2 linked regions of the Coturnix japonica genome follow. The protein of the gene in region 2 interacts with the protein of the main gene of each other region in a biochemical or structural test. Links are inferred from orthologs where the notes say so. Each region holds a gene or a part of one and is shown on either strand. Other genes may lie near its edges.

Region 1 (3,819 bases), about 1.4 Mb from region 2:
GGTCCTGATGGATGAAAAACTCAACATGAGCCAGCAGTGTGCTCTGGCAGCCCGAAAAGCAAATGGGATCCTGGGCTCCATCAGGAGAGGGGTGGTCAGCAGGGATAGGGAGGTGATTGTCCCTCTCTACTCGGCTCTTGTGAGGCCCCATCTGTTGTACCGTGTCCAGGTGTGGAGCCCTCAGTACAAGAAAGACATGGAGATTTTGGAAAGGGTCCAGAGGAGGGACAGGAAGATGATCAGGGGGCTGGAGCACCTCCCCTATGAGGACAGGCTGAGGGAGTTGGGTTTGTTCAGCCTGGAGAAGAGAAGGTTGCGGGGTGACCTCATTGCAGCCTTTCAATACCTGAAGGGAACTTACTCCCAGGAGGGCTGTGAACTCTTGGAAAGGGCTGACAATAGCAGGACACGGGGAAATGGTTTTAAGTTGAAGGAGGGAAGATTTAGGTTGGATGTCAGGGGGAAGTTCTTCACTAGGAGAGTGGTTAGGCCCTGGAACAGGCTGCCCAGGGAGGTTGTGGATGCCCCGAACTTGGAGGTGTTCAAGGCCAGGTTGGACGGGGCCATGGGCAACCTGATCTAGTAAAGGTGTATGTTTGGTGGCCCTGCCAGGCAGGGGGTTGGAACTACATGATCCTTGAGGTCCCTTCCAACCTGTGTCATTCCGTGATTCTGTGATACCAGGCTTAATGTTGTAACAGAACCAGCTGGAAAACCAACGGGACCCAGCGTTGTGCTGGGCGCTGAATGCAAAGCGCAGGGCAGGTTCCTGAGCGGTGCTGCCGGGCGCAGCTCAGCCCCCACAACAACAACAACCGCCGTGAGGAGGCGGCGGCCATTGGAGCGCGGCGAGCGTGAGGCGGGAAGCGCCGTGTCACGTGGCCTCTCCTCAGCTCCGTCTCGCGCCGTCCGTTAGGAGGCGCTGAGGGAGGGCAGCGCAACGGCCCGCCTGCGTCACGTGACGCTCCGGGGCGGGCGGCCGCATCACGTGACCCGCCATGGAGGAGGCGGCTGGGAGGGCGCGCGGCCTACTCCTCCTCCTCCTCCTCCCCCCGGCAGCCGCGTCCCGCCCCGCCCCCCCCCGCCCTGCGCTCCGGAGGCGCTGAGCGGCGCAGCCCGGGCTCCGCGGCGCCCCGCCGGCCGGGCCATGGACTGAGGGGCACCATGGGAGCCAAGGAGTCCCGCATCGGCTTCCTCAGCTACGACGAGGCCTTGCGAAGGGGTGAGGGCCGGGGGGAAGGCGGGCAGGGGGCGCGGCGGCGGCGGGGGGCCCGGTTCTGTCAGCGCCCGGGGGGCTGCCGCTGTACCGGAGCGGAGCGGGGGGGGTGCGCCGTTGTGCGCCTCGGGTGCGCTACCCCGCCCGTATCCATTGCTCCCCCCCTGGATCCATTGCTCCCCCCCTGTGATCATTGCTCCCCCCCTGTGTTCATTGCTCCCCCCACACGCTCTTTAGCACCGGGCCCTGAGCAGCGCCCGTCCCCGCGCCCTCCGCCCTGGCGGCGCTGCCCACACCCAGGCTCCGCCGGCACCGGTCGGGCCTCGTCGTTTGGCGGCCGCCCCCGAGGGTGGCACCGGGCGAGGTTCGCTGACAGCAGCCGGCGCCCGCCCCGAGCGTTGACCGGCGGCAGCGCGCACTGCGCCCCGCGGGGCCGTGGCGGCTCCGCTCCGCGTGTTGCCGTGCCGGGCTCCCGCGATCCCGGAGGGGAAACGACGCGTAAACATGGACACGAGCTGCTCACCCTGACAGCAGCCCCGCTCTGCTGCGCTGTCCGAGGACAAAGAGGGACGGGGGTTTTGTCCAGGAGGTGGTTTGTATGGAGGATTTCTTGGGATGGTCGGGCTGTGTGTGCGCGTGATGCCGTGAGTGTGGCAGGTCACCTGTTTGATGTTTGCGGCGCTGATAAATTCCGTCGGCTCGGAGCGGTGCGTGGCTGCCCTGTTTGTGTCTGCTCACACCTGAGGAGCACATGACTGATAGGGAGAGCTGGCAGCGAGCGTTAATTGAAGGGGGAGCAAAGTAACGCCAAATGGAACATGTATTAGATGTTCATTAGATATCCCTCTTTTTTAATGGTGGAGATGAGGGATGCCATGTCAAGTAGGAAGTGGAGCAGCACGTTGTAAATACTGTCAAGCAGAGGAAACGAATGTGTGATTCGAACTCCTTTTCATTACAGATTTCAGACAGAACGGTCTTGAATTTCAGTTGCAGTGAAAGTATCTGAAGCTCCTGTAAAGCGTCTCTGTATATATAGCTCTGTATATTGTATATATTTTTAGAGGCACTGGAGTCATAAATGTAGTTGGGTAGAGGTGTGACATTGAATATAGCAGGAAACGTTTGGAATAAACTCAGTGGAGGAGAATGTTCATTTGGTCAAGGCTGAAAGCTCATAAATTAGGGAAGCTGTTTGAAATTGTGAAGTTAGATTTAAACTTGTATATTGCTTCAGAATGTGGAGGCCGATCTGGAAGCTTTGTAGGGAAAAGTTACTTAACACGAAAGTAAGATGAATTCTGAAGTTATTCTAAATTACTTCTTGCATAGTGAATGTAATTTTTAGTGCTATTCTTTCTACTTAAATCTTTGAATTCTGTATTTCTGTAGGAAAGCAGAAGTTGTTTCAGGCTCAATGTTTTGTTCAATGGTTGTGTTGCTTCACCAGTGAATCTCTGTGCATAAAACAGGCCAAGTATCAAGACACTGTTCATAAGGAAATAAAAGCCATGTCCTTCCATGCTCAGTTTCTGTACCTTATCTAATGTTGTCTGTAGGTTATTAACTGTTGGGAAATGTTTATATTCTATTTATATTTTATGTATCATAATTTCTCTTGGAGAAGAACCCAAAGGAGTGAAGGTGAGGAGCGTTCCTGCGGTTAAATGCTCACAATATAAATAACAGTAGCTAAAATGTAACTTCTGTTCAAAGAGATGAAAATGGGAGGGCAGTGTTAATGGCCCTGTTGGCTCTGGAACATGAGATAGCGCTGTGGTTCCTACTTTGTTTATATCTTGCTGGTGGGTGCGGGCAGCTGAGTGCCCTGCGGGTGATGGGGCTGGCGGGTGGCCCTGGTGGAGCTGCCTCATGGCCCCCAGCACAGCTCACACTGTGTTACAGTCTCCTTTCTCTCTTCTGCCCTTTAAAATCTTTGGTTGTGTAGCTTGGGAGTGGAAGGTAAGGGCTTCTATTTTAGACAGCTCTTTTCTTGTTAGGAATATTGCTGAGCTATGCTCATCGTAGCCAGAGGCACAACTTTACCCGTTGCTGTGGGAATGTTAAAGGTTTGGAACTTGTACTTATCTTTGAGCGAGGCTCTTCCTGACCCTGTAAACTTTGAAGTTGACATCTTTGTAAGGAAATTAAATTCTCGGACAAGTCATCATAGGTGAAATGAAGTATGTACGTTGTTGCAAAACTATGCATAATGAAATAGGTTTTCTCATCGAACGAAGTTTGTAATGAGTAGCGACACAAACGTGGTTCTTGGGTTTGTTGCTTTTTCTTACCCCAAGAGATGTGACAGTTTGGTGGTGGTGGCTTTTTGTTTGCCTTAGGGAAGGCTTCCCTGGCTCAGTCTGTACCCCACCTGGGTTTGGTGCCTTCTGCAGCACGTGCCTGAGATTGCCCAGTGTGAGGCCTTGTCTTATGCTGAGAGGTGTTGCTCTGAAGTCTGCCTTCTCCTCCTCCCCCTTCTACTGGCAGCCTTGGATCCTGCTTTGCTGGGGGCTGCTGTGAGCTGTGTTCTGTTTAGAACACTTCAACGAGGATCCCCTAGGAAGGAGATGGCTGTGTGCTATTAATTGATGGCTGGCTTA
Region 2 (3,600 bases):
GACTACAGTGCAAACACAAGTGCTGTGCATCTTGCTCGACAAGACTGCTGACAACAACTAATAGCCACCCCTGAGGCGCAGCACCAGGTGCAGGGTGGACTCCTTCTGGATGTTGTAGTCAGACAGGGTGCGCCCATCTTCCAGCTGCTTGCCAGCAAAGATCAGCCTCTGCTGATCGGGAGGAATGCCTTCTTTGTCTTGGATCTTGGCCTTCACATTTTCAATGGTGTCACTGGGCTCAACCTCAAGGGTGATGGTCTTACCAGTGAGGGTCTTCACAAAGATCTGCATCCCACCCCTGAGGCGCAGCACCAGGTGCAGGGTGGACTCTTTCTGGATGTTGTAGTCAGACAGGGTACGGCCATCTTCGAGCTGCTTGCCAGCGAAGATCAACCTCTGCTGATCGGGAGGAATGCCTTCCTTATCTTGGATCTTAGCCTTCACGTTCTCAATGGTATCGCTGGGCTCAACCTCAAGGGTGATGGTCTTGCCAGTCAGGGTCTTCACAAAGATCTGCATCCCACCCCTGAGGCGCAGCACAAGATGCAGGGTGGACTCCTTCTGGATGTTGTAGTCAGACAGGGTGCGCCCGTCTTCCAGCTGCTTGCCAGCAAAGATCAGCCTCTGCTGATCAGGAGGAATGCCTTCTTTGTCTTGGATCTTGGCCTTCACGTTCTCGATGGTGTCACTGGGCTCAACCTCAAGGGTGATGGTCTTGCCAGTCAGGGTCTTCACAAAGATCTGCATCCCTCCCCTGAGGCGCAGCACAAGATGCAGGGTGGACTCTTTCTGGATGTTGTAGTCAGACAGGGTGCGCCCATCTTCCAGCTGCTTGCCAGCGAAGATCAGCCTCTGCTGATCGGGAGGAATGCCCTCTTTGTCTTGGATCTTGGCCTTCACGTTCTCGATGGTGTCACTGGGTTCAACCTCAAGGGTGATGGTCTTGCCAGTCAGGGTTTTCACGAAGATCTGCATCCCTCCCCTCAGACGCAGCACAAGATGCAGGGTGGACTCCTTCTGGATGTTGTAGTCAGACAGGGTGCGCCCGTCTTCGAGCTGCTTGCCAGCGAAGATCAACCTCTGCTGATCGGGAGGAATGCCTTCTTTATCCTGGATCTTGGCCTTCACATTCTCAATGGTATCGCTGGGCTCAACCTCAAGGGTGATGGTCTTGCCAGTCAAGGTCTTCACAAAGATCTGCATCCCTCCCCTGAGGCGCAGCACCAGGTGCAGAGTGGACTCTTTCTGAATGTTGTAGTCAGACAGGGTGCGCCCGTCTTCCAGCTGCTTGCCAGCAAAGATCAGCCTCTGCTGATCGGGAGGAATGCCTTCCTTGTCTTGGATCTTGGCCTTCACATTCTCGATGGTGTCACTGGGCTCAACCTCAAGGGTGATGGTCTTGCCAGTCAGGGTCTTCACAAAGATCTGCATGTTTACCTGAAAAACATACAGAAATTTTAGCCTTAGCTAAAAAGCACTTTAAGTCCACATACACCTTACAAACGAGAAAAAAAAGAACAACTTACTAATTTGCATTACGTTACATCATTTAGGATTTCAATAAGCTATAACTAACCCTGTTGTTCCTGTTCCCCACCTCTTCCTTGAGGTAGGACCCTATAATTCTGAATGCCCTGTGCTGGCCGAGCCCAGCACCCCCCTTCCTTTAACTCCAGGGCACCCCCCCGTGCTCTCACACTGGCACAACGGCTGCAGCCGCGCTGACTCAGCTCCCGCTTCCGGGCCGCACAGCGCCGCGCTCCGCCATCTTTATAACACCCCACCTTCCTCAGCCACAAGCTTCCCCTGCCCCCCCCCCCCCCTCGCACCGTTCTTCAAGCGCCCTTAGGCCGGATTAGACCGTCCACAACCACCTCCCCTCACAAATACAACCCCAAGCGGACTCACTCCAACCCCTTCTGCCTTGAAAACAAAAAACCACCGTCCCTTCTCTCCCCCCCCTCAGCGCTCCCCCCACACAACTCACGTCTCCGGCCCTGAGCTCCGATCAATGCAATCCCGATCCCAGTCGCTGTGTTCTGCGCTGTGACGCAGCGCCGCCCCTATTTATGCTCCTTGCGCCGCACAGTCCCCGCCCTCAAAGCGCTGACGTATCCCTCCGCCTCTCAAAGTAGTCCCAAACGAACCCCCCCCCGGTACCAGCAATACTCACCTCTCTACCGCTCCAATCCCTCCTCCAGGAGTAATGGGGTCCGTGATGTCCTCGGTAGAGAGAGGAGACCCTTCAAAATCCCAAAAGTTCTGAGGGCGCGGATGGATCTGGAGCTGCGGTGAAACGGCCTAATGAAACGTTCTAATCCCAACGGTGGCAAGATCGGCGCTGATTGGCGCAGCAGTAAGAAAGGTGGCTGCTGATTGGTTGTTAAGGAAAGATCCGTTGTAAAGAAAGCTCTGGAAGATTCCAGCGTTGCAGCGTTCTGATTGGTGCGCGGTGAGGTCAGCGCTGTTGCTAGGGCGGCCCTGCTCTGCGGGGGCAGATTTCGGTGGGGTGGGGGGGTGTGCGCATGCGCAGATCCGTAGAGTGGGGGCAGGGAGAGGCCGGGCAGGCCCCGCGCCCATGGGGACGTTGTGTTTAGGCCGCATCTTTTTGCCTGTTATTTGCTTAGGGAAGGGTCTGACAAGGAGAAAGGGGGCAAAAATACCCCTTAATCACAGCAGGCCCACTGCTGCTTTCAGAACAGGAAGCACTGAACAGGTCACACAGCAGCTTCCTGCTTTGAGCCGACGTGGCGGCATGTTTTGTGTTCATTAAAGCTCATTATACCTTTCAGAACAGCTCTTATATCATAACCAGAGCATGCAGAAAGCAGGAAGGTTTCTCTGCTGTTTCATTTACTGCTCGGTGAACACAGATGAACTTGCTGGTAAATCCTCTGCTTAGGAAGCACGAACGTGTGTGTGAATAGCAGGACTGAACACAGGGCTGTATTTCCCCCAGTTAAAAAGAGAGCTTTCACTTCTTTTAGCAAGGCCTGTGACTGCTCAGCACTTGGTTTACAGTAAAAAGGACATAAATCTTCCCAGCAGTTACTCAGAATGTAGACGGGAAGGGAGGAAAAGAGAAACTGGAAACCTCGGAGATACTATTCAGCTACATAGATTTAGGACTACGTAGATTTAGGACTACGTAGATTTAGGACAAAGGCCTTACTTAAGCAACGCTGTTTCCTTAATACTGCCAACTTTGCTCACTGTTTCCAATAGGCTCTTTTCGTGTACATAGCACCAAAGCAGCAGAGGTTAGAGCCAAGGCAGCTAAACAAGGAGCTCTGAGAGGAAAGCCATGAGAAACTAGCAATAATATTTACAAATGTGAAAGGCCACAGCTGCTAAACTGGATATTAACCACAACGCTAAGCTAAAGTCTGCCCTGGGTGTTTTGGGTTTGCATGAAGGATTTCGGCACTTTCAGAAAATGCCAGAGCCCTCCCTTCAACAAACAAGCAAAAAAACTATTGCCAAATCCTATGAGTAAACTATTTACGAAAGCAGTTGTTTTCTAGTTAAATATATCTAAGTACTTAGCACACATACTGCCCTTCCTCCAGTAGCTCCATGTGAATAAGCAACTGACTGGAC

Evidence for each region.
Region 1: the proteins of UBC (region 2) and USP32 form a complex in vitro, tested with the Homo sapiens proteins (2 studies listed by BioGRID). The link is inferred for Coturnix japonica from reciprocal best matches to the Homo sapiens genes UBC and USP32.

What each region holds. Positions count from the first base shown.
Region 1 is NC_029534.1:6,771,779-6,775,597, forward strand, and holds the start of USP32 (ubiquitin carboxyl-terminal hydrolase 32), read left to right. Parts: upstream 1-1,068; 5' UTR 1,069-1,164; coding exon 1,165-1,222; intron 1,223-3,819. UniProt on the Homo sapiens protein: Deubiquitinase that can remove conjugated ubiquitin from target proteins, such as RAB7A and LAMTOR1.
Region 2 is NC_029534.1:5,348,165-5,351,764, reverse strand, and holds the start of UBC (polyubiquitin-C), read right to left. Parts: upstream 2,335-3,600; 5' UTR 2,174-2,334; intron 2,113-2,173; exon of another isoform or gene 1,988-2,112; intron 1,438-1,987; 5' UTR 1,432-1,437; coding exon 58-1,431; 3' UTR 1-57.